Linked DNA regions of Astyanax mexicanus. The protein of the gene in region 2 purifies or fractionates together with the protein of the main gene of each other region. This does not show direct contact. Links are inferred from orthologs where the notes say so. Each region holds a gene or a part of one and is shown on either strand. Other genes may lie near its edges.

Region 1 (7,662 bases), on a different chromosome or scaffold from region 2:
CAAATTGACAATGTTGACTAATTTGAATAATTTGTAGGCTCAAAATTTTAGTGTCGACTAAAAGGTTAATTTATGTGTGTCAAGTTAATGTATTGTCTATGGCACAACCTGTGCGAGCGCCCTATGCAGCTGCCTACGGTGTCTGTGTAGGTACATTTCTGGGACGTGCGCAACAGGATACGTTTAGTTTTGATGATGAAGTATAAATTGGCTTTAATCAAAAAATAAAACATCGGCATCAGAACACTAACCTGTGTGTGTTTTGTGGGCTGGGACCCAGATGCTGAGTTTAATCGCTGGGAAAGAAACCGAGGGCCTTTTCGAACCCGACGGGATCCACTGAAAGAATTATCTAAAAATAATTTATAAAATAAAAAAATAAAAAATATTTATTAATATAATTAAATCATACATTTTTTTGTAAAAGTCCTGAGGAAGCAACTAGCTGGACCTCTACAATATTTAAGCTTTTTTACTTTTACTTTATTTCTCCTTTTTCTGTTTATATTTGTGATTTTAAAAACAACCAATAATTGAAAAAATAATGGATTAACTAAAGCTGCTGTTGTATTTACTTGTAGTTACGCTTAATTGGGAGTTTTTTAAGCCAACTAATATAATTATAAAACATATTAATAATTATTAACGTTTATGAAAGCTAATGGTTTAGCATAGGTGGCTAAACAAGCTGGATTTTTAAGCCCAAAAACATACCCAAGTGTTTTCCAGAGGCCTCTGCATCTCCATTCGGAGAGGAGGTATGATTCTGTTAAATATACATATTTAACTTAAATTAAACAAAATTATTAAACAACAAGACACAAGTCACATTTAGAAGCACAATAAACTTAAAACGTGAATAAGTGTCACTTTAACTACCCTGTTACACAACATTTTTGGCTAAATAATATAAAATAATAGTAAGGAAAGACATTATTTTTTAATAAACATTACAAATTCTCAATACGCTACACAGGATCAATCACAGGACTGTTTTTTTTTACTGATTTGTGTAGATTTAAATGTAAATGTGTTTTAACGTGTTTTAAGTTAATAGAATAATTATTTTCTTCTACAGCCCAAACTTCGACAGCTGGGATTCTGTAAAAAGTGTGAAAAAAATATATATAAATTAAAAAACCTGCTGGGTGGAGGAATCCAGCTGGTTTTCCTCGTAGTCCTGCAGCTCGGAGGGAATCTGCTCCACCACGAAGACTTTAGTAACAACAGCACTCTGCCGACCATCACTGCAGAGAAATACGAGAAGAACCTGTCTGTCAATCTGAAGCTTAACAATAATGCACATATACAATACAGCAAATACTGGTTACACCCAAAAGGTGCATAGTACTAAATACTTCCATACTAAACCGTACTAAAGAACATGTTGTAAGTTTCTTAGTGCTTTAAGAGTTTGGTTTCTGCTCGCCATAGATCCGATCAGCCAATCAGCTCTGCCTCCTGCCCCGCCTCTAAACCCATACATCACACAGTGCTCCTCCCAAACAGTTTAGTCCACCTTTAAAGCCCTATCCGCACGGCATTAGTTTCTCTTTTATGTTTTTTTTTATCCTCTGTGATTTTATTAAAGTGTAATTACAGTGCGCGGCAGTGGACAAATAGCTATTTTATTAAAGGCGAGGAGATGAAACTCAGAGATGTGCGTCCGGACGGGACAGAGAAAAACAGTAGATAATTCAGCCTGTAATTTTCTCAGAGGACGACTGAGAAAAACACGTACATGATCGTTCTGGACAGGTATAAAATCACAGAAGATAAAAACCCCCATAAAAGAGAAAATTACCCCAAAACCCCCTGAGAAACTGATCCCATCCAGATAGAGCTTAAAATCAATGGTTATCAAAAAATGCATCTTAATATGATTTTTGAGCATATTTGAGAGAGTTGGACCTCTACCTGGTGACGGCCAGCGCTCTCACAGACACTTTCCCGCTGGGTAGGTATATGGGTTCGCTGTAGGTCATGGTGCTGCTGCCTCTAACCTCCGGCCTCCTCAACACCTCCGGTTTACTCCCGTCCAGCGTGTAGAAAACACTCACATCAGGAGAGTCTGAAACCAGAGAAACCCTTTAATTATACAGTTCATACAGTAGCTCTGCATCAGTGCAGGAAAACAGTGAACTCATCCCCACCTGATTTAATCTCCACAGGTGTGCTGGTGTCTATCTCATGCTTGGCTTTACCAGGAGGCGGCACTCGGATGGGGATGATGAACGGAGCTGTGATGGAGCCTGCAGTCATTATCAGTCAGAGGGTGAAGCTGTTCAGAGGGACCAGCGCTCCAAATAATACGCTCTGATATTCTGTAATGAAGACAACAGCATCCATGAAGGATTAAAACATTTTTTTAAATGTACACAAAAACACTATATTTAAAAAATCTCCCGCAGAAGTGCAGGTAGGATATTTACATTGGTTAAATTACCAGTACCAGGTAACGTTATGGTCTAAAAAATATTTTAAAAATACTTATTGTTTAATAGTTTATTGTTTGCAATATTTTTATTGCAAATTTACTTTTTAAATTGCAATTTACAGTATTGTAACTTTCAAGCAGGTGGTTTAATGCACACAAGGAAAACGAAATGATTGTTAAAACACATTAAAACATAAAAAACATGGTTGGGCGCATGTGCAGTGCGCTTTATTATTATGGGTCCCAATAGTAGAGATGGGATGAAAAAAAAATCTCTATTGCAATATATTGAATCATTTACAATGCATTATTGATATATGGTGTAAAATATCACTATTTTTATAAAAACACAGGCTCTCTAAACCCCCTAAGATTTGCCCTCTGATTAGACGTAATGCTTCATCACTCCACAAGATAATTAAATGAAAATACAATTATATAATTAAATTTTATTTCTTTATAATACCTTATTGCATTAATAATATATGTTTAAATTAAAATAAATGAATAAAATGTGTGTTATATCAAGTCCAAAGTCAGTGCAGTTTTGTTTTCCCACAAAATCTTACAGCACTTCATATCTTACAGCTTCCCTCTGCTACTGATAACTTTTATGGAGATGCAGATTTCATTTTCTAGCAGGACTTGGCACACTGCCCACACTGCTAAAAGTACTAATTGGTCTTAATATATAATATTATAATTTTCTGAGATCCTAATTTTTGGGTTTTCATTGGCTGTAAGCAATAATCATTAACAACAATAAATACACACTTAAAATAGATGACTCTGTGTTTAATACATCTATATAATATATGAGTTTCACATTTTGAACTGAATTACTGGAATAAAGTTACTTTTCAATGATATTCTATTTTTTGAGATGCACTAGTATACTTTAAAATGTTTATACCTGTAGTGTAAAAGCTTTAAAAATGATAAATTCAATTTTTTTCTCAGTTGCTCCAAATAAACCATTAATTGTTGTCTCTCTCAGGAGCGCCCTCTAGTGTCTGATAAACCCGGAATCTCCTCTCTACAGATTCTCTACAGATATATAAGCCTCAGATCTGCAGTAAATTACAGATCCTGAGGGAATACAGGTGTTAATCCAGGTGCGGGTCTTTAGCAATGCTCAGCTCCTCACCTGTACCTGTGCTCCGGGTTCAGGCTGCAGATCTCCTGCATGTGTACCGTATCCACCGCTGCAACAACCATCAACTACACCGCACAGCAAAACGCGCTGCTATTGGTCCAGCGCGTAGCCCCTAGCAACCGTGTCAGCCAATGGCAAACGACCTTAGCTTATATGTCAGTCACAGAATAAAAAACATTTTTTTTCAAAGTGTATATTTGTTTATTATTCATTTAAAACAGTAAAAAAATACAATTTTTATACTTTTACAAATAAAAACATTATTATATTATATTATTTTTACGGTATTGTTCTTGAATGTTCATCCAACAGCAGATAGACTCTGAACAGTCTCTGTAACATCTCTATTCAGCTAGATAGATAGATAGTTGGTAATATATATATATATATTAAATATACATATATACATATACATATAACATACAGATATAAAACAAAAGTATTCTAAAAACATACGCATACATTACAAAAATATGATTGGGCGCATGCGCAGTGCGGTTAAGAAGCGTCCAGCTGGTTTTACAGTGCTTCTCGTGTTTATTTTTTGTTTTTGTTTTAAATAGAGACGACATGAACGAGAACTGCTTTTTTATTATTAAAAATAAACTGTAAATACGCTTTTATCTGAGCAGTTCATTTTTAAACAGGCTTTCCGTGAGACTCCTAAACCGAGCGGAACAGGCTGTGGGAGGGGGAAGGACCCGGTGTTTTGTCAAATTGTGTTACTTTGCCAAACCGTGCTTTAAATAAAGTATATTTAAACATAAAATACACAAAAAAACACTATATTTTTATCTCCCGCAGAAGTGTAGGTAGGATATTTATATAGGTTAAATTACTGTATCAGGTAACGTTATGGTCAAAAAAATATTTTTAAAAGACTTATTGTTTAATAGTTTATTATTTGCAATATTTTTTTATTGCAAATTTACTTTTTAAATTGCAATTTACAGTTTTGTAGCTGTCAAGCAGATTAAAAACACATTAAAACATAAAGAAAACGTTTAAAATATGGTTCAGCGCATGCGCAGTGCGGTTTAGAAGCACATATCGACGGGTAGTATTACTGGACAGTACACCTGCGGCACGCTGTTTCTGCTGTGTTTACAGTGCTGTAAATGTGGAGAGGATCTGGATGTTCTGCTGTATCTAGAACCCAGGTTCTGATCGGTCAGCAGTGATGGGGGATGTGAAGGTGAAGAAGGAGAATCCGGATCCGGTGGATATTGAGAACAGGTGAGTTTCAGTAGGCGAGATCAGCCCTGGGTTAAAGTCTGATCACTGAAACCTGCAGGTTCTCAGACTCTCCAGACTCTAAGAGAGCTGATCCAAGTGTATCAGTACATTTTAGAAATTTTTGAATAGTAAATAAAAACGCAAATAAAATAAAACATGTTTAAAAGTTAAAAAAAAGTTTTATTACATTGCATACAGTATAAACCAGAGATCCCAACTTTCATTGAAATCCAGGGAGTCTCCCAAATTTTATTATGGGTTCTCTGATGCCTGCAAAATATATTTACTATTCCACCGATTGTGTGCTATTTGCTGTTGTAACTCTTCCAAATAAAACTTTTATTATTTTTTTAAATCTTTTTTCAACTCTAAATCTAATATTACACATGTTTAACTATTCCAAACATGTACTGGTCAAACTCAGGCAGCTTTACTTCTTTTTTTTTTTTTTTTACAAGTTTCTAATCTGAAGATGGTTACAAAACTCACGTGTCATTTAAAAACATGTTTAAAAGTTTATAAGTCGACTAATTCCTTTAATTTTTCACTCAATAAAGTCTTTATTTTAAAGAAATGGCTATAGACTGCATGTTCAAATAATTAATATTTATCTAAAAAAAATACAAAAAAAATGACTCCTGTTCAAGACACTCCCTCCTGTTACTGGCACTCCCTCCTGTTACTGGCGCTCCCTCCTGTTACTGCCGCTCCCTCCTGTTACTGGAACTCACTTCTGTTAATGGAACTCAGTCCTGTTACTGGAACTCACTCCAGTTACTGGCAGAGACTACTGTTAATTAAGCATCGAATTAGCAAAAACATGAAAAATAGCTAAATGGCGTGTGGACACTGATCACATTCTAGTGATTTTCTCAAAATTTGTATTTTAAAAAATATAAACAAATAAGATCTAAGAACTAATTTAGGTAACAGGACTGAGTGTTAAAATTGGTCTTCTTAGTCATAGTTAGGGTATAATATAATAGAATAAAATTGGAATAGCTGTGGTTGACCCTCTGTGTTGGAGCATTGATCTCTACATTAATCAGAACAGGACCTGGTGAGGTCTAGTTATTTTAGATTCTACTTTGAATTATATAAACAATTTACATAATTACATAATTTTACGCATGTTTTTTTTTTTTCTGGGACCGATAACGTTTTTATTTGATAACTCTGTAGTGTGTCTTATCATAAAACAAGGGGTTCTAACCGGATCATTTATGATGTATAGAAAATTATAGAAAATTATAGAAAAAGCTTGATGATGTATATTAATTTGATTTGTGTTTAGGATTAAGGAGCTCTGTCAGCAGTTTCCTCATGGCATCACTGATCAGGTGATCCAGAATGACCTGCCTCATGTGGAGCCCCAGCAGCGGGCCATGGCCATCAACCGGCTGCTGTCTGTGGTGAGTGTTCAATACCTGCACAGGTACTAACAGACCTGGTGGAGGAAAATCAAGCCTTTATATATTTGCTGTTTATTTATATATTTGCTGTATATCTTTGCTGTCCAATGAAAAAAAAGTATCTCCATTTTTGTCGATTTTAATTTACTACATAATTTGAACAGACAAACTGTCCTTCACACTGTGCCAAAATTTCTTGATGAACAGACTAATAGAAACTCTTCAAAATGACCTGAAATAAACTCTTTTTACATTGACTTCCATTGAAAGTTTACAATGTTTTTTTCTCTCTCCTGTAAAGTTGCTGTTTTGGATGGAGATAAGTGTTTTTCATTGGACAGCGACGATATGCAGTAAAATAATATATATATAATATACAACCCTGAATCAGTAAAAGTTAGGACAGTATAAAAGATTTTAATAATTAATTAATTTTAATACATTTAAAATGATCAATTTAACAAATTATATAAGTTATGCCTAAAATCATGTTTTTAATTACACACACAGTGAGAGAGAGACAAATAGACCATCATAAATGACAGAAGGACGTTTAAAGGAGCTAACCACTAACCTAAAATGAGTTTTTGCAGGGTGGGATGTCACAGAATATTGTCATGATAAATCAGATTACATTTTTTAATCGAATGACACCACTAGTTTGAAGATTATATCATCATTATTTAAATATTTGTTTTAATCTGAATAAATATTAATATTTAATTGTTCACATTCTTAAAGTAAATTTTGCATTATGATCTGCAGGGCCAACTCGATCTTCTCAGAAACAGCAATGGCTTGTTGTACAGGCTGAAGGATGTCCAGTTGGCAAGGTAAAAGCCTTTAACTTATTATTAAAGAGTATTTATATAAAGATTTATATGCTTTTACAACATGTTTTGATGTTTAATGTGTTTTTATGTGTTTCCAGTAAAATGAAGGGCTCTGACAACCAAGAGAAGCTGGTTTACCAGATTATTGAGGATGCTGGGAATAAAGGTAAATAACCTGCTCCTAATTGTCATTGTCAGGGTTTTTGGGGGGCTACGTGGAATCAACACGGGGTCTGAATACATATCATTATGGTTTATTATGGTTTGAATCCTGGTTATGCAGCTTGCCACCAGCTGCCGGAGCCCCGAGTAAGCACAGTTGTCCTTGCTCTCTCTGGGTGGGTACAGTACAGTAGATGGCGCTCTCTCTTTCCCCATCAGCACTCCTAGGGTGATGTGGATCAGCACAAGGCTGCATCTGTGAGCTAATGTATCAGAACCGAGTCGCTGCGCTTTCCTCCGAGCATTAGTGCTGTGATGCTACTTGAGGCGGAGTCTGAATTCATATGTGTTGGAGGAGGCGTGTGCTAGTCTTCACCCTGCTGGTGTTGAAGCATCACTAGTAATAGGAGATATACAACTGAGTAG
Region 2 (6,983 bases):
ATCCCCACAGCAATGCTCCAAAATATCGTAGAAAGTCGTCTTGCCTGGACAGTAAAGACACTTACTCCAATAAAAGTAGGATAAACTATGTTTTAATAATCTTGATTTAAGAAGCCACGATGCCCATACAGTTTATCGGCCTTAAAGGCTCAGTAGTGAACGAAACCGGTGATGGAGAGGATGAGGATAGTCATGTTACGACTTTTTGATAAATAAATACAAATAAATTTTTTATTTATTTTTTATTTTGATCATTCATTATTTTTGACATAGTGGGCAAAAACAATACAGGTAATATATATCCCACACTACCCTCCATGCTTCACATGTATCCATGGCGACCAACCTCCAGCATCTTCATGCGTCCCCAGCCAGCATCTTCATGCGTCCCCAACCATCCCATCATCCACTATCCCTCCACTCTCTCGTTCTGCACCTTTTAAACGACAGAGCCGCCGTCTGCTACGCTCGTGTCCCTCTGACTACCTGTCTCTGTCTCTTTATCTTTGCAGCTGGATGTGAATTATTCATGAGGACACAAGGCTCCTCTGTTCGAATAACAAAGCCCTGTCATCATCTCATCACACAAACACACACACACTGTATATCGCAAGTGCAGAGCACGGCCTTGAGCACGCTTCATCTCGGGCACATTGTTGTAAATGAAGAGCCACCAATGCACTTAACTCTCGTCCTATTTTAAACAGTGGACGGCACAGCGAGGGATTCCGTTACATAAGCGAACGGGAACATTAAATGGCCTTTGGGTGCCATCCAGGAGAAATTATCTGTACTCTTTTTGTCTCAGGCAGCACTTTCTTCTCGCAGGAGTGTATGGATGAGGCTGAGCAACAGTCACGGCTTCAAGGCCGCTCTGTTTTCACTGTGTCTCTTTGTTTGCCATCAACTCTGGACTATCAGGATAATGTATCTTCTTACACAGTACAGTATCACAACATGCCCTTGACTGATTAAAAGGAAATATCATCAGTCTTTCAAAATATCTGTATTATTACACTGTTATGAAGTGGTGACTTGATGAAGGGGCTCAATCATGGTGAATAAAACCCTATGTCTTAACACTTCTAAAACCTGCATTACAAAATATTATAACACAAAATCTTGAATGGGTTCAAATACATTGTTTTATACATCTGTAATAAGACTTTGGCCTAAAACCTATTTTTGTATATGTTCATCTTCATCTTGCTGCACTCAGAAGAAATTAACCAACAGGAATAAAATATGGTGGGTAGTCATGCCAGACTGCTGTCTTGGTGAAGACAACCAACAAATCCATGTAAGACACTGTGATTCACTGTCAGTCAGTGCCAAGGTCAATGGTTTACTGTCACGAGGCATACATCCAGAGGACCAGGTGTCATGGGCACCTAGTGTGGGGTGCAATTTCTTAAGATGCCAAATCACCTTTTGTCTTCATTACAGGCGTGTTAACAGTCCAGCGTTACTAGTATTAGTAAAATTCAGCAACCAGTGGTCCTGCTCTTTTCTGAAAGCACACTCTGGCACACTATATGTCCAACAGGACAATGCTCATACACACTGCTGCTGCTGTCTTAAGAGCTTGCCTTGAAGACACAGATACTATGCCATGGCCAGCCAGATTATCAGACTTCTCCCAGACTGAAAATGTATGGGACACTCCACCCAACCACCACAAAATCTGCAGGAACTGGGAGAGAATATTCATGCTGCATGAGATGGGTTATCGCATGCCACCATTAGGAACCTCTACAACTCCATGCAGAGAAGTCTGGCATGTTGTGATACACGTGGATAACAAACTAGTCTTGTATGTGTGTAGCCTAATTAATATGACAAATATTGACTGATATTGTTCATATCAGTCATTGCAACTTAACACTTCCTTCTGAGTGCAACTATTTTTATAACCACTTCTTTGATGATGAGGGTATGTACTGCTGTTTCACCATCATCATTCCATTAGGGATCTCATTTATATGAAACTCATTCACAAAAAAAAAACATTTGTATGTTCACTGGTGGCTTTAAATAGTGCAGAAATTTGTTATATTTGTGTTATAGACATAGTGACCCCATGGTGATCCAAGGCCATAAGTTACTATTAAAGATAGAGCATTTCAAACCACTCTGTATGACTTTGTTTACCTCTCAGTGATTCAATTATTCCCTTTCAGTTCAGGTTTCATTCTCTGAAGAGCATCGTTCATTGCCCTAAATCTACCCCAAAACCAGGTTGATCTAGGCAGAGAGCAGCAGTACGTAACATGCAGCCATTTCTGGAGAGTCGCCTAAAATGATGTGCAGATTGAAGGCTATTGTCTTAGTCAGCAGCAGAAACAGCATAATAAACCCTGACAGAATGATGACGCCTGACGTCACAAGCTCATTGGAGGCTGTGTGTTTGAGGGGGAATGGAGGATGTGTCACCAGTCACACACTCTCCATTCTCCCAAACACAGAGTCCATTCACTCAAGCACACAGCCTCACACACATTCCCCCTTAATGCAGAGGCAGCCTTTCCTCAATCACACAGTCTCTCCTAATGCAACATATTAGCTTCACTAACAAGCTCTGTCCTGGACATGCTAACCTGGTTAGCATCCATTTCATTTGCAATTTCATTCCATGTCCTTCACTCTACCAAACATAAAAAAACATATAGAGCATCCATCCTATAAACAAACAAAGCATGCATTCCCATATATACATAGCATCCATTCCCATAAACACACACAGACACACATACATAGCATGCATTCCCTTATACATGTAGCATCCACCCCCTAGCTTACCTATACAAAACACAGCATCCATCCCCATAAACACACAGCTTCATCAGCCAACCTACATACATCCCATTGGTCCCCCTAAAACAAAGCATGCACCCCCCTCTGAACAAAGCAGGCATCCCTATAAAAAAAACAAGGCACACACATGCTTTTTCAACCCGCATTCTCCACCAGTGCCCTAACACATATTATCAATACAGTCACTTAAATGCTCATAGCAATGCATCCCACCTCATCACCTAAACAAAAAGCATCCAGGAGCAGCAGCATCCCCCTAAACAAAAGCATCCCACTTACCCTAAACACACAGGCTGCACAGAGGCTGCATTCCTCAGCCACACACCTTCCTAATGCAATGTCTCATCTGAGAATGCTGCTGGCCAGCTTTATCCAGTTCAGACATGCTCTCAACTTCACCCTCATTCCCTTATACCACATCCTCGCATTAATGCACAGTTTTAACAGCACTGACAGCCTTTAAATCTACATTAGACATGCAGACATCCCACCCAGTTCACCCTCATTAATTACCCATTCAACCCCTAGCATCCATTCCCCCAAACACAACCTGCATTCTTCAATGCAACAGCCTCCATTCCTCCATCCTACATCATACCACCATACATCACCATACATCCTCCATTCTCACATCACAACCTCCATCCATCTATCCATCCCTCCATCCCTCCAATTAACCCTCAACAAAAGACAACAGTGTCCCTGTTCATCCTGCATCCTCCTACCTCTCTCCTCGTGCTCGTGCTCCAGTCACCTAGTAGTTCTCGGTCACATCCACCCCCAGCCCCCACGCTCAGCCGCCCCTTCGCCCCTCAGATCTCCCCCAGCAGGCTCCGTCCTTCTCGGCCATCAGTTGCGGCTCCTCTCCGCTGCTTCAGCTCACTCCAGCCTCTCTCTCCGGCTGTCGGTCTGACCAGCCAAATCGCGCCCTCTGCCCCGCCTGATCAAAACACGACCTACATGCTGGGTTTTGCCCTGTCACAGATCGTAATACGCATAATTACTATTTATTTCCCAAGTCTAGTCACACACATACACATTTCAGTCCAAAAATTAACTAATGTCATTGCTGTATTTAGAAACTGCACTACGATTCTCTACTATTTCAGCGCTCATTCGTTCAGGCACACAGCCGCTCAGCTATTGGTCCTAAATTGGGTCCTCACGGGTGAAAACAATTTGTAGTCTTTGTAGTCTCTAAGCAATAATAGAGGAATCGCTGTAACTGGAAGTTAAAATCGTCCGTCAGTGTGATGGATAAGGATACAGCCAGTGAGTTGGAGAGGTAGGTCGTTTAACAGACGATGTTAAGCTGTTTAAATGTGATTTAATCGGGGAAATGGGATTTTAATGCTGAGCGAAAGCAGTGTTAGCCTGTTAGCTTAACGTCTATTACTGCAGAACTGAACATGAAAACATTAACCTAGCTAGTTACCTGAATATTCAGGCTAATTCACTTACATCTGGTTTGATTACATGATTTAAATCGCATATTTTTGCAATAACGAAAACCTAATGGAGATGTTGGATCTCGAACTGATCTGTGTGGTGAATTTTAAGTGTAGCTAGTTAACGTTAACATAACGTAGGTTAGCTAACTAAGTTAATTAGCTTGCTTTGGCTTCATAACAGAGGTAAGTTAACTAGCTAAGCTACAAACTGATCACTTGACAGCAGGGCAGGGTTGCCAGGTCCAAGAAAAATATTCAGCCCAAACTCAGTCTAAAACCCGCCCTTCAGAAGCTTAAACTAGCCCAAAATATCTGTCTGTCACAGGATTGAAGCAAATGGCAAAACAACTATTAGTGTACGACTTAGTATTATGTTTATAAGGGGTTTATTATCCGTATTGCTATTTATCTTTAAGTCATTAATAATATTGTAACATTTATGATTTATTTGTTTTTTATAACAGTTTTATATCCCAGTTAAGAACATTTATCGGTAATAGTAACAAAATTAGCAAAAAATAAATAAAAATAGAACTGACTTTTATTTACTTATTTCTGTTCTTGCCCCCCCTGAACTCTCTTCTCTCCTCTATAACACTTTTTTCATTGCCAGTAACTGGTTAGCTACAAACTAGGGGTACACTGAATATTTTTTTGTTTGAAACTGTACAAAATGAAATATTTAGCTAAATATCAAACGTGTTTTAATTTGCAGGTATTCATTAATTTTACCACATTTTTAGCTATTGCATAATGCAATAGCTTAAAAGCATTTTTTCTATTGCAAATATTTTTTGTTTAAATTATGTGGTCTTATTTGGCTAAACACCCAAATAATTATTTTTTTCTCAATAATAATTTTGGTTGCAAAATATGCAACCTTTTTACATTCAAATACTGTATTTAATACACAGCACACACATTGACATTAAATATGATTGATGTGTTAAACAGTCAATGTTATTAGAAATGTAGATAGTTACTGCCTATTTAGAAAAAAAAAAGTAATTATGTGTGTAACATAGTGCAGCACAGTTGCGGTACACTAACAGTAGCAGATGAGAATTAGTGCCTGTTGCAGTTTGAAATAGCAAAGGCTTATTGTCCTAAAAACAGTTGTCTCCAAATGGTAAATTGGCAGTAGGGGAAAAGTATGAACATGTTCTTAGTATTTAATGTAACTTAATGTAAAAAGATTCTGTTCTGATAAATAAACAAAAAAATATATAAGTGTATAGAAATAAATGTTTTATTCAGCATTTTTTTGTACAATAATGCATATAATTGTGCAGTATATTCAGATAATATAATAAGAACATTATTTTAAAGTGGATTGGCACTATAAATATTCTATATGTACAGTTTAGTCTTACAGAAAACTGTTACCAACCTGGAGATCCTCTTTACAGCAGATATTGATTCCAAAACACATTCGATACACCAGACCCCTTTGTTGATCCTATTCAGTGATAACAAACACTGAAGGCAGCCTGTCCAAGCATTCTGAAAACATTAGAAGCTAAAGCTGGAGCAGAATAGGGCTGGACCTAAACTCTAAAGGGTTGATTACCACTGATTGGAGGAGGGTAGAGTAGCATAAACCCATACTTGAGTAGATGCATTAAACAGAATCAAAAGCAAAATACAACATTCTTACTGTATTAGCACAAAAATTATATTTTAATTGATAGAAATATTAATGGAAATTGAAATTAATTACGTCAAGTTTACCCAAAAAGTAAAAGTATTATCTAAAAAACACTCAGAGAAGGACAAATCAAAGCTGTGCTTGAGCACATGTAATTATTTAAATGTTATTAGTTACTCCTTTCCTCTGACACTGATACAGTGGGTGTGCTATGTGTGAGGAATGGACTGTGTTCTTGCCGCTGAGGCAGCAAGTTTCTCGGGCACCTGTTTTGTGAACTGCGGTCAAAGGGCAGCTGTGGACAGTTGGTGATGCCACTAAGAGGTGGTGACTCAGCTGCTGGACTGGGTCGCTGCAGGACACACACGTGCATTCATTTCCTGTTGTCTGTTTTATGGACACTGAAGAATTAATCCATTCTCCTCCTCACAGACGTGCAGTTGAAGAACTCCTGAAAGAGGCCAGTCGAGCCAAAGTACGGGCAGAGACCATGGGGCCAGCGGGGTGGTGAGTCATTGGTGTCTATAACCTGTTTTTATTAATTCTGATGGATTTTTTTTTTTTTCCATTAAATAGTATCATTTTACAAATGTTGAGCAACAGACAGGTAAAAAAATGAATGCAGAAGAAAAAGGAGCAAAATATACAAAAAATTGTGTGGATGCAGTCATCTTTACAGACAAAGATAGATAGGAGGAAGTGTCCGCATTCAATGCACACCTTGCAGAAAATCCAAAAAACATGTTTCAACAGTCGTGGGCTTAACATGGTAAATGTTAGCAGTGATACATTAAACTTTTTGTTTATTGAGTAAATAAACCAACCAAAATTGTTCCATGTGAAGTCCAGGTGTGATCCACTTTTATTGAATTGTCTTTTCAGCAGCAGTACATGAATTTCTATAGCTTTGTCTGAATAAAGCATAAAGCAGGGGTGGACAATATTTAATCGTATTCAGTTTTATTTAATACAACATTATCATCAATACACCCATACAGTGCAGTGTAAAGTTGTTAGGCTGCCTCTCAAGTGCAATGATAGAAATGGATAAAAGGGTACGTAGTAGTAGT
Region 3 (7,847 bases), on a different chromosome or scaffold from region 2:
TGAGGCAATGAATAACCTCTTTAACATTTAAGTAAATTCAACTTACTATAAATTAGGCTTACAGTGTTGAACTACTGCATACTGAACTAGAGAAAAGGTCAACAGGTCGATGGAAAAAAAAATGTTTGTGTGTTTGAATATATTTAGCATGATTTACAATCATACTGATAAAAACAAACTTTCCTCGTGGCTTTTCCACTACAGTACAGTAGTGTGTTTTGCATCAAAAGGGGTTTTCCAGAAAAAAGGAAGTTCCAAAAAAATGTGAGTGTGTGAGAACTGTCTGCGAGAACTGTCTGCCAGCAGATAGATTAAAGAGGATGATGAGAGGATGATAAGAGGTCTGTACTAGTAAGAAACTCTGGGCACCTGGAAGAGTTCCTGAAAGGACGGGTGAACTGCAGGATTGGGTACGAAGGGCAGAGCGTAAAAGGGCAGAAACTCTGTGGTCTGGCTCAGTGCTGCCCCCCGGGTCTCCAGGTAGTGCTTAAAGTGGCTAATCCGCTCATCAAAGTCAGCTTTATCCTGCAGACAAACGTCAAACAAAAGTACATCATATCAGAAATCTTCTCATGTTCATTTCGGCAAATAAATAAACTGATTTGTGCATGCGTAGACAAATTAATTATAACATGTAACAAATCAACAACATATTTGAAGATATAAGGTTATAATGGCTAGATGACAGAGCAGAGTACAGAGCATGTCCAAAACATTATGCAGGTCTTATGAAGTGGTACTTATATAAACTAGTCAGGAAAGACAACATAGAGAACCAGTGACAGGGTTATGGAAGCTCATGGCTCACTGATGTTCATGGACCTCCTACCTAATATCAAACAAGCCTTAAAGGGGGTACACAATTGGCCTGCACAATATTAGGCTGGTGGTTTTAATGTTGTGGCTGATCAGTGTGAATGTATGCTATATAGTAGGTAGTCACAGCTGAAAAATGTTTTATTGTGCAGTGGGGACACCTGCTGGCTAGAGAAGGCTAATATCATGATACCAAAGCTAGTAAATCCTGATCAGGATGGATTAGCTTAAACTGGACACATCATCCTTGCCTATAACACAGTTGAACCTGAGCCGGTGCCGCAGAGGCAGAAATGACCACAATAAAAGTGTTTTTTAAAGATTAGGAAAAGCAGGACGGGTATGTTTCACAATTTCAAAGTACCACATTTCAGATGTTAAAGAACAAAAAAATTGGTTTAGGTTTTAGTGCCTCTTTAATCCCTATCTGGAAAACCAAGCCTTAAATTTATTTTTAATTTTTCTCACCTGTCTTCCAACATTGTTCTTCAGTGGGTAGATTACAAAATGAATGTGTAGATAGAATTCCAGTTTCTGGACATTCGGATCACTGTCCCGAATATCCACAGGGACGTTTTCTGCCCACAGTTCAAAAAACACCTTCATATCACCATCATCGAATGAGCTGATCAGATCCTTCTGCAGACAAAACACATTTTAAGAAGTTAATTTATTGTATTTTACTGCAACAATGAAACTCTGTGTTACTAACAAAACGTGATCTGGTCATTATCAAGTCATAAGGATAGACAAATACTATCTAAAACTATACTGAAAACCCATATAGCTCTATGGTACATGTTTCTTTAATTCAGCACATTGATTGAACATTCATGTTAGAAGGCTAGAAAAAGTGACCACCAAACCCAGCAAATCCACCAAATGTTTAATTCAGCTCTAAATAACTTTTACGGAATTTCAAACCATTCCTCCCTGTAAATGTGTTTTAGATCATCAATATTTCATGGACATCTTGCTTTTCAAATGTACTGACATTTCACACTATGAAACACTCTCCCAGCACTCTAGCAATGTTTCAGAATTAGCCTTACCTGGATGATTAGGATTTTGGAGTCTACAGGAGGGCTGCTTGGTGTTTTTGGCACAGGTTTTCCTTTGCTCTTGCATTCCTTCTCAAAGATCTTCACCGTATCCTCAAACTCAGAGAACTTCAGGTACTGAAAATAATCAATTTTACATTGAGCATATGCTTTTGCTTATGAAATGGCTATGAAAATCATCAACATACAGAGCATGCAATCAGAATTCATATGTGTCAAGCTTAATATAAAAGAAATGTGAAGTCCAATGCTGCAAACTAAAGGGGTTATAGGGTCAAATAAATTTAAAAATGTGAATCAAATGCAGACATTTTAGTGTGGTAGCCCATCAAAAACCTCTGCATTGGTAAGTGACCATCCAGTCATCCATTTGAACAATCTAACATGCAGACAGACTGACCTCTTTTATCATTAAAAGGAGATCTGCTTCATTTGCCAGAATGTCCCCCATCTCTTGAGCCTTTCTGGAAGTCATGTATCCTCAACCTGCAAAAGAAGAGACAGTGATCAATCATTTAGCTCACTTATCAGTTAAATACATAACTGTCCTACTTCAACACACCATTGTATGAAGAGTATGCTGATAAACTGCATGAAACTATTTGGGAGATTTTTATTGTTTGGCAACTTTTTTCAGACTCTTGTTTATTGTTTTGATAACAAGCTGATTTTTTGAATCACCCATGCGTTATCAAGAGGGCCCTTACAAATGTGACATAGTTTTGCCCAAAATCAACAAATAGTAGTGCATTTCAAAAAAATAGAATCATTAAAAAGTTGCTTTATTTCAGTAATTCAGTTTGAAATGTGAACCTCATATATTATATAGATGTGATACACACACAGTGATCTGTTTATTTTACTGTTGATGATTATGGCTTACAGCCAATGAACACCCAAAAGTCAGTGTCAGTTTTGGCAGTGTGCCAGGTCCTGCTGAAAAATGAATCCGCATCTTTATAAAAGTTGTCAGCAGAGGGAAGAAGCATGAAGTGCTGTAATATTTTCTGGGAAAACAACTGCACTTTAGACTTGATGAAAAAAAAAAAAAATGGTTTCCAACACTAGCAGATGACATAGCTCCCCAAACCATCACTAATTGTGGAAACTTCACACTAGACCTCAAGCTGTTTGAACTGTGTGCCTCTCCACTCTTTCTACAGACTTTGGTCTCTTTATTTCCAAATGAAATGGGTTGGAGAGGACTTGGCACATGGATGGATGGATGGATGGATATTGTGTCTTTAGGAAAACTGATGTCAGCCACACAGAAAGTGCAAATACACAGTTATATAATAATTTAAATTTAGCAGTGCAAAAGATACGTAAACAGTAGATGAGTGAACTAGTGAATGAACTACTAGTGCAAAATAGGGTAGAACTATAAAAATATTATTATAGGCATTAGTAAGTCTAAAAGTGTGTCCATAGCTGAGTGTGTGTCCATAGCTGAGAGTGTGTCCATAGCTGAGAGTGTGTCCATAGCTGAGAGTGTGTCCATAGCTGAGGGTGTGGCCATGGTGTGGCCAGAGTTACCAGAATGAAAAGAAAAAAATACAAATTTCCTGAGACATCGATTTTCTTTTTCTGAAAGCCATAATCATCAAAAGTAAAAGACAAACGTTTAAAATAGACCACTCTGTGTGTAATACATTTCTATATAAGCTTAACATTTTGAACTGAACTACTGAAATAAAGTACATTTTCAATGATATTCTGATTTTCTAGGTGCACTAAAATACTAAGAACATAAAAAGGCACATGTATGTCTTTATTTCTTCACATATACATATTTTTATTTATGGTCCACTTCTATGACTCACTGTGTTGGAAGATTGTATATAAAAACAAAAGTGATAAATAAATACATAAAAATATAAGAATTTAATGAAATGGTGTAATAACCAAAATATGTTTTTTTGCCTGAGGATAACACTGCCATAGAGAGATAAACTGCTCTGTGTCTGCAAACGAGAGATATAAGCTGTATTACCTCAGCTTTTAAGGTTTAGGTTCTCCACTTTCTTGGAAATAGGAGGATAAACCCTTGCCTCCATGAATTTTTAACAACCACGTGGATACAATCCAAATGCAGCAAGATAAGATTAAAAGAGCATCCTCACATTTTAGGCACAGTTTGATGGTAAGTCTCGAAAATGTAGTCTTGCATTTTATTTTTCAGCATAAGAACAGAAAAAGAACCAAAACCAACAATACTAGCTTGTGTTAACTACCAAACTACAGCCATCGACATAAATACTAGTGAGTTTAAGTAACCCAGCTGGCCAGTTTAACCAGTTTAAACAGTTTAGCAGCGCCTTCTTAGATAGCTTATGTTGTTTTTGAAATAGATAACATGCTAGCAAATTAGTGTAATATAACGTTTAGAGCTCAGTAAAGCGTGTAACAAACTCCACACTCTGAAAGAAAGCATTAAAAGCATTAGCTGCACTGTTAGCTTAGCCCCTATGCTCATAGGTAAATAAACACCGCGCGGCACTCACCTCAGTCAAAAACACCCTTAAATGCAATAAAAATATCACTACTCATTTCTCAAAGTGAAAAATGTCCTTATATTATAAAACGGAAGGGTTAAAAAGCCAGAAAATGTTTGCGCAGGTCCGTAAAAGCAGCGAGTGGAGTTTAGCTTAGCCTAGCCTCACAGGCGCTGGTGCTGTTAGTCACTATAGTAACAGCTTTTGGGACGCTCTACACCTGGCAACACCATCCGGCAAGAGGATGTAAGTGTCGTGAGGATTTGTAGTTTTTGTCCGAGGTGATGTAGTCCAAGCCAGAGTTCGGAGACAGCATTATTATTATTGTTTTGTGTTAAATTACACAAAGATTAAATTTTATTGGAGCTGCAATAATAATAACGATAATAAGTAAATAAATAATAATTAAAAAATATATACAAATATTTAAAATGTATGTGTAAATAAAAAATGCTTTCGGCGCCACCGGAAGTACACGTGAAGCCGTAAAGAATCAACAGTAAGGCGCGTGTTCCGCTGGAGTTCAGTAATAAATGAATGAAACCTGTTATCAGAGGTTTAATTTAGTAGAAATTCACGCGGATTATCGCCGTGTCTGAACGCGTTTCAACATATTTGGTGACTAAAGCGCATCAGCTTAAAAGTAAGTGACTTTTAAAGACTATTTTTTTTTTACCTAAACCAAGCAGAACTGAAGGGAAATACCGGCGAAGCTAGCTTAGCTAGCTTGCTAGGGTGCTAACTAACGTGTTTAGAGGAACCAGTGTTTAGCTAACGTTACATTCATCCATAAACCAAGAGTCCCCGTGTGTTTCAGACTGAATCAAACAGCGTTAATTAACACATAAAACGAGTGGGTAAATATAACCTATGTAGTAATTTAAATAAAAGTCTGGGGTTAAGTTCATGTCCAGGGTTTTATATCTAGCTAGGTTTGTTAACCTGGGCAGCCAACTATCTGGCTATCTATTTACCTGTTTTCTTCTTTGGAGTTAGTGGTAAAGTGAACGACTTATAAAGAGTTTTTTTATCCATCCAAAACAAGCTGAACTACAGTAAAATGTTGGCTAAGCTAGGTTAGCTAGCTAAGATTCTAGCTAACTTGTTTAGAGTAACGTTACAGGAACCAGTGTTTACTTTTATCCATAAACCAAGAGCCTAAGTATTGATTTAGCCTGAATCAACAACCATTAATTGATATATGAATAAGACTAGGCAAATATAACCCATATAGTGATTTAATTGAAGGTCTGGGATTAAATGGCTAAATTCATGTCCATAGTTACATATCTAGTTAGGCTAGCTAACCACGGCAGCCAGCCAGCTAGCTACTAACATGTTTTCCTCTTTGGCGATAGTGTTAAAGTAAGTGACTTATAATAAGCAGTTTGTAGATATCGAAAAACAAGCAGAACTGCAGGGAAATGTTGGCTAAGCTAGGTTAGCTATCTAAGATTGTAGTTAATGTGTTTCCTAGTTACTTTTGTGTCCAAAATTTCCCCTCGGGGATCAATAAAGTATATAGCTATCTAGCTATCTATCTAGCTAGCTAGCTACAGTACATGACATGTTTACATTCATCCATAAACCAAGAGCCTGATTGTGTTTCAGACTGAAACAAATAATCAGTTAATAAATTAATAAGAGTGGGTAGATGTATAGGGGGCTGTATATGGTGGTTTAAATAAAGTGCTGGGGTTGAATGGTGAAGTTCCTTTCCGTGAAGTTTACTAGTTATATAGTTAGCTAACTATACTGAGCAGTCAACTGGCTAGCTTCCTGCTTTCTCGTTTACCTCTTTGTAGATGATCTTATGTGTCTTAAAGTTGGTTAGATGTTGATTTATATGTTAACTAACCAGTACAGCTGTGTGTGTGTTTTTTTTTATCAGAGTGAGCTTCCTGGGCAGATCAGCAGTGGTCTGTAGAGATGGCTGGAATTCTGTTTGAAGATATTTTTGATGTGAAAGATATCGACCCAGATGGGAAGAAGTTTGACAGAGGTGAGACCAACCTGCAGCAAATCCTAATTTTAACCCATTTATCGTTTGTTAGTGATGCTCCAGTATGGGAATTGTGACAAAACAAACAGTTCTTGTAGAAACTGTGAGTTAATCCATCTGGATCACAAACACACAGAGATAATGCTAATTTTATCTGTTCTCTTCCAGTGTCTCGGCTTCACTGTGAGAGTGAGTCTTTTAAAATGGACCTCATCCTGGATGTGAATACTCAGATCTATCCTGTTGATCTTGGTAAGGGAGACGTGTTGTTGTTGTGGCCCAAAATGTGACTAGATGTGTTGAATGACATTTTCATTTCCTAAATGGGCCACGTCAATTTGTGGTATTAAATTGCTATACATATCTAATGCATGGCAATGTGGCACTATATAAACATATAGACTGAAATTAATGTGACTTTTACAGCAATGTATAGGAAAAAGGACTGAGAGTAATGGCTGTGAGTAGATTAAAATAAAATGGAATGCAGCAGTGATTTAAGGGCTTAATTGGCAGATAAACTAGGTAACAGATCTAGTATCTGAACTTATGTTTGTAATAATATTGGAAGACCCAGGTAGCAGCCACACCGTGTTCCTAATGAATTGGCCAAACATGGCTGCAGAAAGCAGCTGCAGCGTAGAAGGAAAAAAAATCTAAATAAATTAAAATTTAACCGTCCTTTTTTTAGGAAGGCTCCAGTGAATTTTCAGCTATAAACCAACAGCCTGAACTATAGCTCCTGAAATACTGACTGGGATTAAAGTGAAACTTAACATGAAGCATTGCTCTGTGGTGCATGCGTGTCTCTTATAAAACGCAAACCGTTTAGACAGAGTCGGATATGGGTAACATAAATAAATAAATAAATAAATAATTAAATGAAAGTAGTGTGTGAACATTTACACACCTGTTCTGTGGGAGTAAAGGAACATGTTTAATAATCTTAAATAAGTTAAATAATATATTGTATCTTTATTTCAGGGGACAAATTCAGATTGGTAATAGCTAGCACACTGTACGAAGATGGCACTCCAGATGATGGAGAATACAACCCTCAAGACGACAGACCATCCAGGTAAAACCTGTTTACATATTAGTATCATTTTACTGTACATAACAATATATGGTATTTGTTTTATTAAATTAGTCTTCTGCAAAAAAAAAAAAAATAATAATAAGTTGGCAGAAAGAAATGTTTAATAAATGATTACCAATAAATGCATACTCTGTGCTGAAATGATTACTTTTTAAATGTTAAGTCTGTGTTCTTTTTCTCCAGGGCGGATCAGTTTGATTATGTGATGTATGGCAAAGTATATAAAATTGAAGGTGATGAGACTTCAACAGAAGCAGCTACACGACTGTAAGTGTCAAGTGTCATTATTGTCATCTTTCTGTTTCCTATAAAGTTACACATACTTAAGAATATATTTACAATCATACAAATGTTTGGCACCCCAAAATGCGACA
Region 4 (7,866 bases), on a different chromosome or scaffold from region 2:
TAGAGAATTGCCCCTAAATAATCTCTTCAGTGTTGCATAAAGTCCTTTAACAATCTTTTCCCCAGAACTATTTATGAGACCCAAAACTGTAACAACTGAAATCTGAGGAAACATCTTATTGAGATTAATTGTTTAGTACACAAAGAGAGAGTGAAAGTGAGTGAGAGAGTGAAAGAGAGAGAGAGCAAGTGAGAGAGAGAAAGAGAGAGAAAGAGAGAGAGAGAGGTGGCTGACAGGCAACTGAACTGTAATCTACATCCCCAAATCAGAAAAAGTCCGGACCGTGTGGAAACAGCACTGGATCAAAAACCGTCATTTAACAAAAAACAATAAAACCACAAGAGATGACTTTACACAACTTAATCACCAACAAACTCTACAATACAGAATTACTAAATTTACTAACACCACTTACAAATTTACTGTGCACAACACAAGCCTTATATTACATTACACAACAGGCCAGTGATTGTGACAAATAAAAGAAAGTAAATGGAAGAAACACTGTGGTTTATTAAAATCTATATTTTCCAAAACTGCCCCAACCTTTTCAAAATTGGAGGCAGTGAATCCAGCACGCTGCACCCCGGCATCATTAGTAAAGCCAAAGGTTTTGTATAGACTAAGAGCAATTTTAGGAACCAGGTTCTAGATACTGACCGGTGAGGTGGACCTGTGGTATTAGATAGCAGTCTGGGTGAGTCTCGGGCCGAGCAGGCTGGGGAACAGCGGAAGCGTCCGATGATCCTGAAGATGCTTTTCCAGCTGTTCCCATACTGTCCACTGGAGGGCAGCGCTGCAGGAAATGGGTCTCCACCAACCGGGTAAACGCAGTGATGACCTCACTGTATTCCATACTCTGACCATCTACACACACACACAGAATTGTATCACTGTTTAATTTTATTATAAGAAACCACTACCCTGTGCTTCCACTCTCTGGCCACTTTATTGGAAACTCCTACATCCGCACACTTACCCTCCATGCTGTGGGTCAGCCGGTCGGCGACGGTCCTCACGGTGCAGCTCATGGTCATCTGACCCCTCTGGAGAATCTCCTCGATCACCAGCTCGCCAGTGTCTCCGTACAGGCTCTTGGCGGTGTAGATGTATCGTGGGTAGCGCAGCATGTAGAGAATACGCTCACAGTTAGCCGTGTACTCCACCGGACCCCCGGGACCCCGGCGGCCCGGTCCAAACACACACATCCCATGCTGGACCAGCACACACAGAGACTTCTTCACCTAGGAGATCATTAAAGGGAAAGTTCAACCAAAAATCTACAGACAATTAACTGGAGCTATAAGGTTATCTGAGCCAGAGCTTAGTGAATAATAAGTTATTACAGTTCTTACAGGAGCAAAATCACACAGCCATCATCTCAAACCCCAGATACAATTCTTCAGCCAACACAGTTCTGCTCTCTGAGCTGTGCTTATTTAGTTAATAGCAGGAGACGCTAGGCTCATTTTGCTAAAAATCTGAATTTAGACCGGCACAAACACCATCACCGCACAACATGTTCTGGAGTATAACAATTTACGTCCAGTCGATTAACTTTAGCTTAGCATGCACTTATTATAAAATGACACTCAGAAATAAATCCATACAATGTGCTTAAATGTTAAGGTGTTCCTCAAGGCAGCAGACCTTTTTGTTTTTGTTTTGGTATCACTGTCACTGTTTTTACCATTATTGTGTTTTGTTGTTAATGTTACTATTTTGGTATTATTATCATTCATTTAATTATTAATTTTGTATTGTTTGTGTTCTGTGTACCCTTGGGTGGGTGGGATCTGGGTTGTTGTTTGTAAAATTGTGAAAAGTGAAAACCTATAAATAAAGTTATATAAAAAATAAAAAAAAACCTTTAGCTTAGCATGTTCTGTAATAAAGCTGTGATTGGTCAGGGGGAGGGTACTGTAATAATAAGTCACCATGTTTTCCTCCTGGTGAAAGATTGTATAATTCATCATCTGTGTAATTATTTAGTCCTGTAGTGTACAAACCACACCCACTAAAATATTTCTCATTACAGTAGAGTATAGTAGAGTATAGTAGAGTACAGTACCAGGTCGAGTGGGGTGCTGGTCTGATGGGCTAAAGCTCTCAGGTTTAGAGCTCCACTCCTCAGGAGCTCCGTCCCCATCTTCTCCACCACCTCCCCAAAATGCTCCTGCAGCAGCAGCCCACACAACCGCACCTCCTGCGCCGTCATCTAAACACACACACACACACACACACTTACACACATCACATAAACACACTAAAATCACACAATTTTAAGTTACTAAGTTAACGTTAGCTGTTAGCTGAGTTAGGTAGCATTAGTTGAGTTATTGAGCTAGCTGTTAACTGAGTTTGTTAGCGTAGGTTTAGTTATTGAGTTTGCTATTAGCTGAGTTAGTTAGCGTTAGTTATTAAATTAGCTATTAGCTAAGTAATTTAGCGTTAGTTGAGGTACTAAGTTAGCTGTTAGCTGAGTAAGTTAACGTTCGTTGAGTTACTAAGTTAGCTGTTAGCTGAGTAAGTTAACGTTAGTTGAGTTACTGAGTTAGCTGTTAGCCGAGTTAGTTAGCGTTAGTTGAGTTACTGAGTTAGCTGTTACATTAGTTAGTTAGCGTTAGTTTAATTATTGAGTTAGCTGTTAGCTGAGTTAGTTGAGATACTGAGTTAGTTGTTAGCTGAGTTAGTTGAGATACTGAGTTAGTTGTTAGCTGAGTTAGTTGAGTTAGTTGGTTGAGTTATTGAGTTAGGTGGCGGATTTGGCGGATTTAGCCGGGTAGCGCTGCTGCGGCTTTCGGGCTGTAGGTAAGTATCCCTCCGCCTCCCCAGTAAATAAAGAGCCGTACTAACCTTTGGGTCTCCGGTCTGCACTGCAGTGCTGCTCCGCACCGCTTTAATAAACCGGGCAGGAACTGAATTATTACAGAATTTAATACTGGATTAATCTATAAACCCTCTCACACACACCGGCTACTACACACACCTCACACGCGCTTACAGAACCGATTCACTGATTCACTGATTCAAATCCATCACCAGCCGATTCTGTGCAGTTTCAAAAATCCGCACAAACAATAACTATCGCTAGTATTATTGTTATTGCTGTTTATAATAATAATAATAATAATAATAATAATAATAATAATAATAATAAAAAGAAGAATATCTAGATAGATAGATAGATAGATAGATAGATAGATAGATAGATACTTTATTTATCCCGAAGGAAATTTAGGCATCCAGCAGCAACAACACAATACAATAAGAAACATCCTCAGACAAATCAAAACACAGAAGAACAGAAAATATATAAGGCTATAAAAACCTAACTATACAAGGTAAGGATCTATCTCTAAACGGAGCAGTGCAGATGTTGCTAATGCTAATTAAATAATTAACAGAGTAAAGTGCAATGTGCAATGACATTGATTACGAAAGTGATTGATGTGACATAGAAATATAATATAAATATGCATACGTTAGAAGACAGTTCTAAAAAGAGAATGTGAAAATGTGAATACCCAATCAGGAGTAAAGTGTATTTGAATGTAAGTGAGGTTGGGGAAATGTAAATAATTAAGTGATTGGGCCTGAATAACATTAAATAAACGTTGTTTTGGTTGCATCGTATAAGAGCTGAAATTCGGAGTTTAAATTAAATTAGTTATAATATCTGTGTAAACAGGAGCACAGCGCGACCTGTAGGAAAACGGGGGTTACGGCGCGCGATCAAAAAGCTAAGAATCAAAAGAGTCGGTTCGCTGAATTCAATCGAACGGGCACATACGGCGTCACGGGCCTAGCCCCGCCCCGGCGCTGACGTCAGCGCTCGGGCCCTCTTCCCCCTGTGTGTAAGATGGCGGAGGCTGCTGCGGTTCCTCCGCACCGCTTCTTCTGTCACTGCTGTAAGGGCGAGGTGAGCCCCAAACTCCCGGTAAGAACCGCCGTCCGCTCGCCGCTCTCCTCCCGCTTCGTGCCGCCGCCGCCGCCGCCTGCCCGCTGTCCTGCTTGGGGCAGCTCGGCTCGGGTTAGCGCCGTTGTTTTTGGGTTGAACCAGAACCGGATTTACAGCTTTATTTCTGGGTTTAAATGCGGACTATAAAGCGGTTTAAGTTATGTTTCACTTGTGTGGCTTTTCCGAGCTGTTAAACTCACCTCCTTCCGCTGTAACCCGGTCTAAGGCTCGCAGCGGCGGCTGTGTTTCCACTGTTGCTGTGATCTCAATTCGGATTCTGAGATCCAGATTTGGCCGCTGGTTTATAGTTGTGTGCTATATAATCCGGTGTGAGAGTGAGTTGGTACTGTAGTTCAGTAACGTTAGTTCAGAGAGTATCTGGGTTAGGGGGGTTTCGAGTTTGAAGGCCACAGTTAAACTGAAAGTGATATAAAAGAACTTCCTCTGTTCTGATCTGTTTTACTTTTGGGATTTAATGCGGATTAAATTGCGGTTTAATATGTGTTGAAATAATTTATTGATTTGTTGTGGTGGTAACAACACACAGCTATCAGAACCCTCAAAACATTGCCGCTCTCCGAGTTTACACTGATCACAATTCAGTTCCTGAAATCCGGATCAGCTGCATTAGCTGTTTGTGTAAGTGTGTGTGTGTGTGTGTGTGTGTGGGGCTGGTAGCACAGAAAGCAGCTGATCCTGATTGGAAACCATAAACAAACTGAAAGTGAAATAAAACTAAATATTAAAGAGTTTAAAGGGGAATTCCTCTGAAATGTGACCAATCGTGTGTGTTGTATTTTGTGTTTGTGTTGTATTTCGTGGTTAACTTTTGGCATATCACCATATATCTCAGTACAAAATATTGTAATAAAGATGTTATGAATATTAAGCATATTTCTGATATTTTTATGTACATTATGTAAACACCTGTCACTGATGATCATTACAGGAAGCAGATTGTTTTTCTGAAGTTTGCAGGTTCAGTGTAAAGTTAGTTTTAAAGTTAATTTAGCTCAAAGTCTTTATTTTATGGGTGTGAGAATGTGATTCTGTTTGCAGTAACTCAGTGTAAGTAAGGAATAGTTTACATATGAAGATTGGTGTCAGAAGTGCTTGATTTAGTGTTGTCATAGTTAGTAATTTTTAACACTCAGATTATACACTGTGAGCTTTTCTAAAATGTAATGTGAGCAGTAAATGGTATTGTTTAGAGTAGCAGTGGATATATTGGTGAGCACAGTTCTGTATCTGATAGTGTTAAATCAGTGGTGAACATGAACAGTGGTCCGAGCAAGTCTGTGTCCTTAATTTATATAAATTAATCTAAGTTTTTGTAATCTAAGTATGGTAAATTTATTTTAACACTTTTTTTATATAGCAGTATTTTGACACTCAGATTGATAAGTCTGCTCTGAGAAGCCTTTTCTCTCCAGCGCTGCTCGGTCCAGTTAAAACGGACTCCGGTTGGTTTGGACTCTTGTTGCAGTTTATGGCTGGTGTGAACCCGTGAGAGCAGGTGTCTCTGTCCTGCTCTAAACCAACTCCGGTGTGGTTCTGTTTTTGGTGAGAAGGTGATCTGACCCGATATTCAGATATACTCCTTATGTTTGAGCTAAACTGCGGTTCAGGTGCAGTTTAATCTGATTTATTACCCAGATAATTACTACAGCTATTAACTAATACTAATCTTTGCTGCTGCTGTATGCCAAGCTGTTTGACATTGAACGCTGTGTATGCAGCGTTCAATGCTCACGGCCATGCAACTGTGTTTACTGCACAAACATCTCATTTAAAAAAACTAGCAAATTTCCAGCATTTAGTGTTAAATCAGCTTCACACTGAGCAGCTAAACACAGTGGTCTGGAACACAGAACCTTCTAGCTATATTTACCTTCTTGCTAAGACAGCTCTGGCCAATTAGAGGAGAATGTGCTTGCGTGGTTGGTTGGGAAGCGCTTTGCTGCATTTAGGTTTGTACCTGTGTGAAAACAAACCAAACCGAGGGAGAAACTCTCCCAGTAAACAAACTTTAGAGCAGGTTTAGAGCAGAGAAACCAACTACAGGTGTAAAACACTATTAGACATGGTGTCTCACCACAGTTACCGTACTGTTTATTATTCATAATTCCAAAATGTGCTCAAAACTGTTACAAAAAACACAATAATATATTATATTCACCAGGGAGGCAATATGGCCCTAAAATAATATCACAGTGTTTCAGGGTATATTTATGATAACTATATTTTTAGTAATGTGGCAAAACATATTCAGCTTCAGTTTTCAGCATTTACAACTGCAACTAAATAAATGATATTTATATAGTGTAACTGTATAAAAGGTTCACTAGAAGTGAAACTACATGAGTTCTGATAATAAAAACGAAAGATAGAAAATTGTACAGATTTAATCCACATCAAATCAAACAACAGGATCTACTAATCTAACAGCACAGCGACATCACTCTTATTAAACAGAGGTTAATTTAGATCGGAAATATAGTTCGCATCACCAGTTAGCCTTTAGTCATCGTGGCTAATCAATCCACTGTTGTGATCTTCATAATAAGAGTCTTCAGGCCAGCTCTTATTTGCTAAGTAAACTTTTAATCAAAATTTGGTCTAATATTAGTTTTTCATTTGTGTCTCGTTTTAAATTCTTTTATGTTTGGCCGGTATATTTTATTATTACAGAGCAACACATTTCAGCTTTTAATGTAAAAATGTATTAGAGTGTAGTTATTTTAAGTAGTGTAGAATCTCTTGAAATAACCGTATAAACGTAATATATATGTGTTACCGTATAAACATAATAATAGTTTAATGTTTATAGTAGTTAAATGTTTAGAGTGAGTAAAAGAGGCAGCTGTAATAAACTGGTCTAGTGTTGTAATATACAGTATTTTCAACATCTGTTATTAACTGATGTTCATTCGAGGAAGCTTTTAGTATCAGAAGTATCAAACTAAATACAAATGTCTTAGATATGGGTATTTTATTGCTGGTTAATTACAATAATAGAGAGAGAAATATTAAAGATAAAGCTAGTTTTAATTGGTGAGTTTTAGTTATTTACGTGGCGTTTCTGCTGCCGGAGTTTTGGAGAATGCTAATGTCTGTTTGTTTGTGTGTTTAGGAGTATATCTGCCCGCGTTGTGACTCTGGGTTTATCGAGGAGGTGACGGAAGATTCCAGGTGAGATGATTAATCTGGTTTTCTGTCGCTCACTCTGATGGTATGCTGAAACTCCAGCAGGACCGGTTTCTTCCTCAGCCTGCAGTAAAAAAAGGCCTGAAGTCCAGCCCTGGGGCCAAATGTGGCCCCTGGACAGATATTAACTGACCCTCTGCTGCAGTTTTGCATCATCAGTTTCCCACAATCACAGTCTGTTTTTTCATTAGACTCAGCAGAAGCTGGAGTTATCTAAAAAACAGAGCCCACAGTTTCACTGCAGATCAGTTTAAACAACTTCATTCAGTACTGCAGCAAAAAACCATCATCACAGACACATTTATTTACAGTTACTGTGCTAAAAGTAAATGCAGTGTTAAATTAAGTCTTTAATTGTACATTTTTGCTAATTAATATTTTGGACACAATATTTAGAATATTTCTAAAGTAATTTTATATAAAGAGAGCTATATCTAAAGGCCTTCAGTATGATATGGTTTAATCTGGTGTAATGTAACAGACTGTGACACGATATACTAAACTACAGTGTCTACATGGCATCCTTCAACCCCAGGTTGGATTTTTCAGCTGTAAAATCCTGATTAATTCTAGTACTCTAGTCTGTGTTTACCTACTGTCTCTAAAAGGTTAAACACTAAAAACAATTACAATTAAGGACTAAAAGCATCTAAAAGGAAAATCAGTGCTACGTGTTCCACAGTTTGAAATCTTGATCT

What was found. Proteins that work in one complex are often made in the same cells at the same time.
Region 1: the proteins of si:ch211-140b10.6 (region 2) and polr3f purify together in Homo sapiens (affinity purification with mass spectrometry; 3 studies listed by BioGRID and IntAct, with this or other methods). This does not show direct contact. The link is inferred for Astyanax mexicanus from reciprocal best matches to the Homo sapiens genes POLR1D and POLR3F.
Region 3: the proteins of si:ch211-140b10.6 (region 2) and polr2h purify together in Homo sapiens (affinity purification with mass spectrometry; 4 studies listed by BioGRID and IntAct, with this or other methods). This does not show direct contact. The link is inferred for Astyanax mexicanus from reciprocal best matches to the Homo sapiens genes POLR1D and POLR2H.
Region 4: the proteins of si:ch211-140b10.6 (region 2) and polr3c purify together in Homo sapiens (affinity purification with mass spectrometry; 3 studies listed by BioGRID and IntAct, with this or other methods). This does not show direct contact. The link is inferred for Astyanax mexicanus from reciprocal best matches to the Homo sapiens genes POLR1D and POLR3C.

Annotation. Positions count from the first base shown.
Region 1 is NC_064430.1:23,772,265-23,779,926, reverse strand, and holds the start of polr3f (DNA-directed RNA polymerase III subunit RPC6), read left to right. Parts: upstream 1-4,646; 5' UTR 4,647-4,773; coding exon 4,774-4,829; intron 4,830-6,123; coding exon 6,124-6,241; intron 6,242-7,006; coding exon 7,007-7,074; intron 7,075-7,172; coding exon 7,173-7,240; intron 7,241-7,662. Other genes in the region: dzank1 (double zinc ribbon and ankyrin repeat-containing protein 1), read right to left, coding at 252-352, 715-766, 1,142-1,247, 1,918-2,071, 2,154-2,262. UniProt on the Homo sapiens protein: DNA-dependent RNA polymerase catalyzes the transcription of DNA into RNA using the four ribonucleoside triphosphates as substrates.
Region 2 is NC_064408.1:96,428,094-96,435,076, forward strand, and holds the start of si:ch211-140b10.6 (protein POLR1D-like), read left to right. Parts: upstream 1-3,970; 5' UTR 3,971-4,067; coding exon 4,068-4,099; intron 4,100-6,345; coding exon 6,346-6,420; intron 6,421-6,983.
Region 3 is NC_064423.1:25,662,279-25,670,125, reverse strand, and holds the start of polr2h (DNA-directed RNA polymerases I, II, and III subunit RPABC3), read left to right. Parts: upstream 1-4,831; 5' UTR 4,832-5,015; intron 5,016-6,263; 5' UTR 6,264-6,301; coding exon 6,302-6,374; intron 6,375-6,542; coding exon 6,543-6,626; intron 6,627-7,358; coding exon 7,359-7,452; intron 7,453-7,656; coding exon 7,657-7,740; intron 7,741-7,847. Other genes in the region: lisH domain-containing protein ARMC9, read right to left, coding at 370-525, 1,285-1,455, 1,869-1,994, 2,278-2,352. UniProt on the Homo sapiens protein: DNA-dependent RNA polymerase catalyzes the transcription of DNA into RNA using the four ribonucleoside triphosphates as substrates.
Region 4 is NC_064413.1:35,650-43,515, reverse strand, and holds the start of polr3c (DNA-directed RNA polymerase III subunit RPC3), read right to left. Parts: upstream 3,017-7,866; 5' UTR 2,857-3,016; intron 2,219-2,856; coding exon 2,072-2,218; intron 1,245-2,071; coding exon 980-1,244; intron 868-979; coding exon 661-867; intron 1-660. Other genes in the region: rnf115a (E3 ubiquitin-protein ligase RNF115), read left to right, coding at 3,863-3,940, 7,095-7,153. UniProt on the Homo sapiens protein: DNA-dependent RNA polymerase catalyzes the transcription of DNA into RNA using the four ribonucleoside triphosphates as substrates.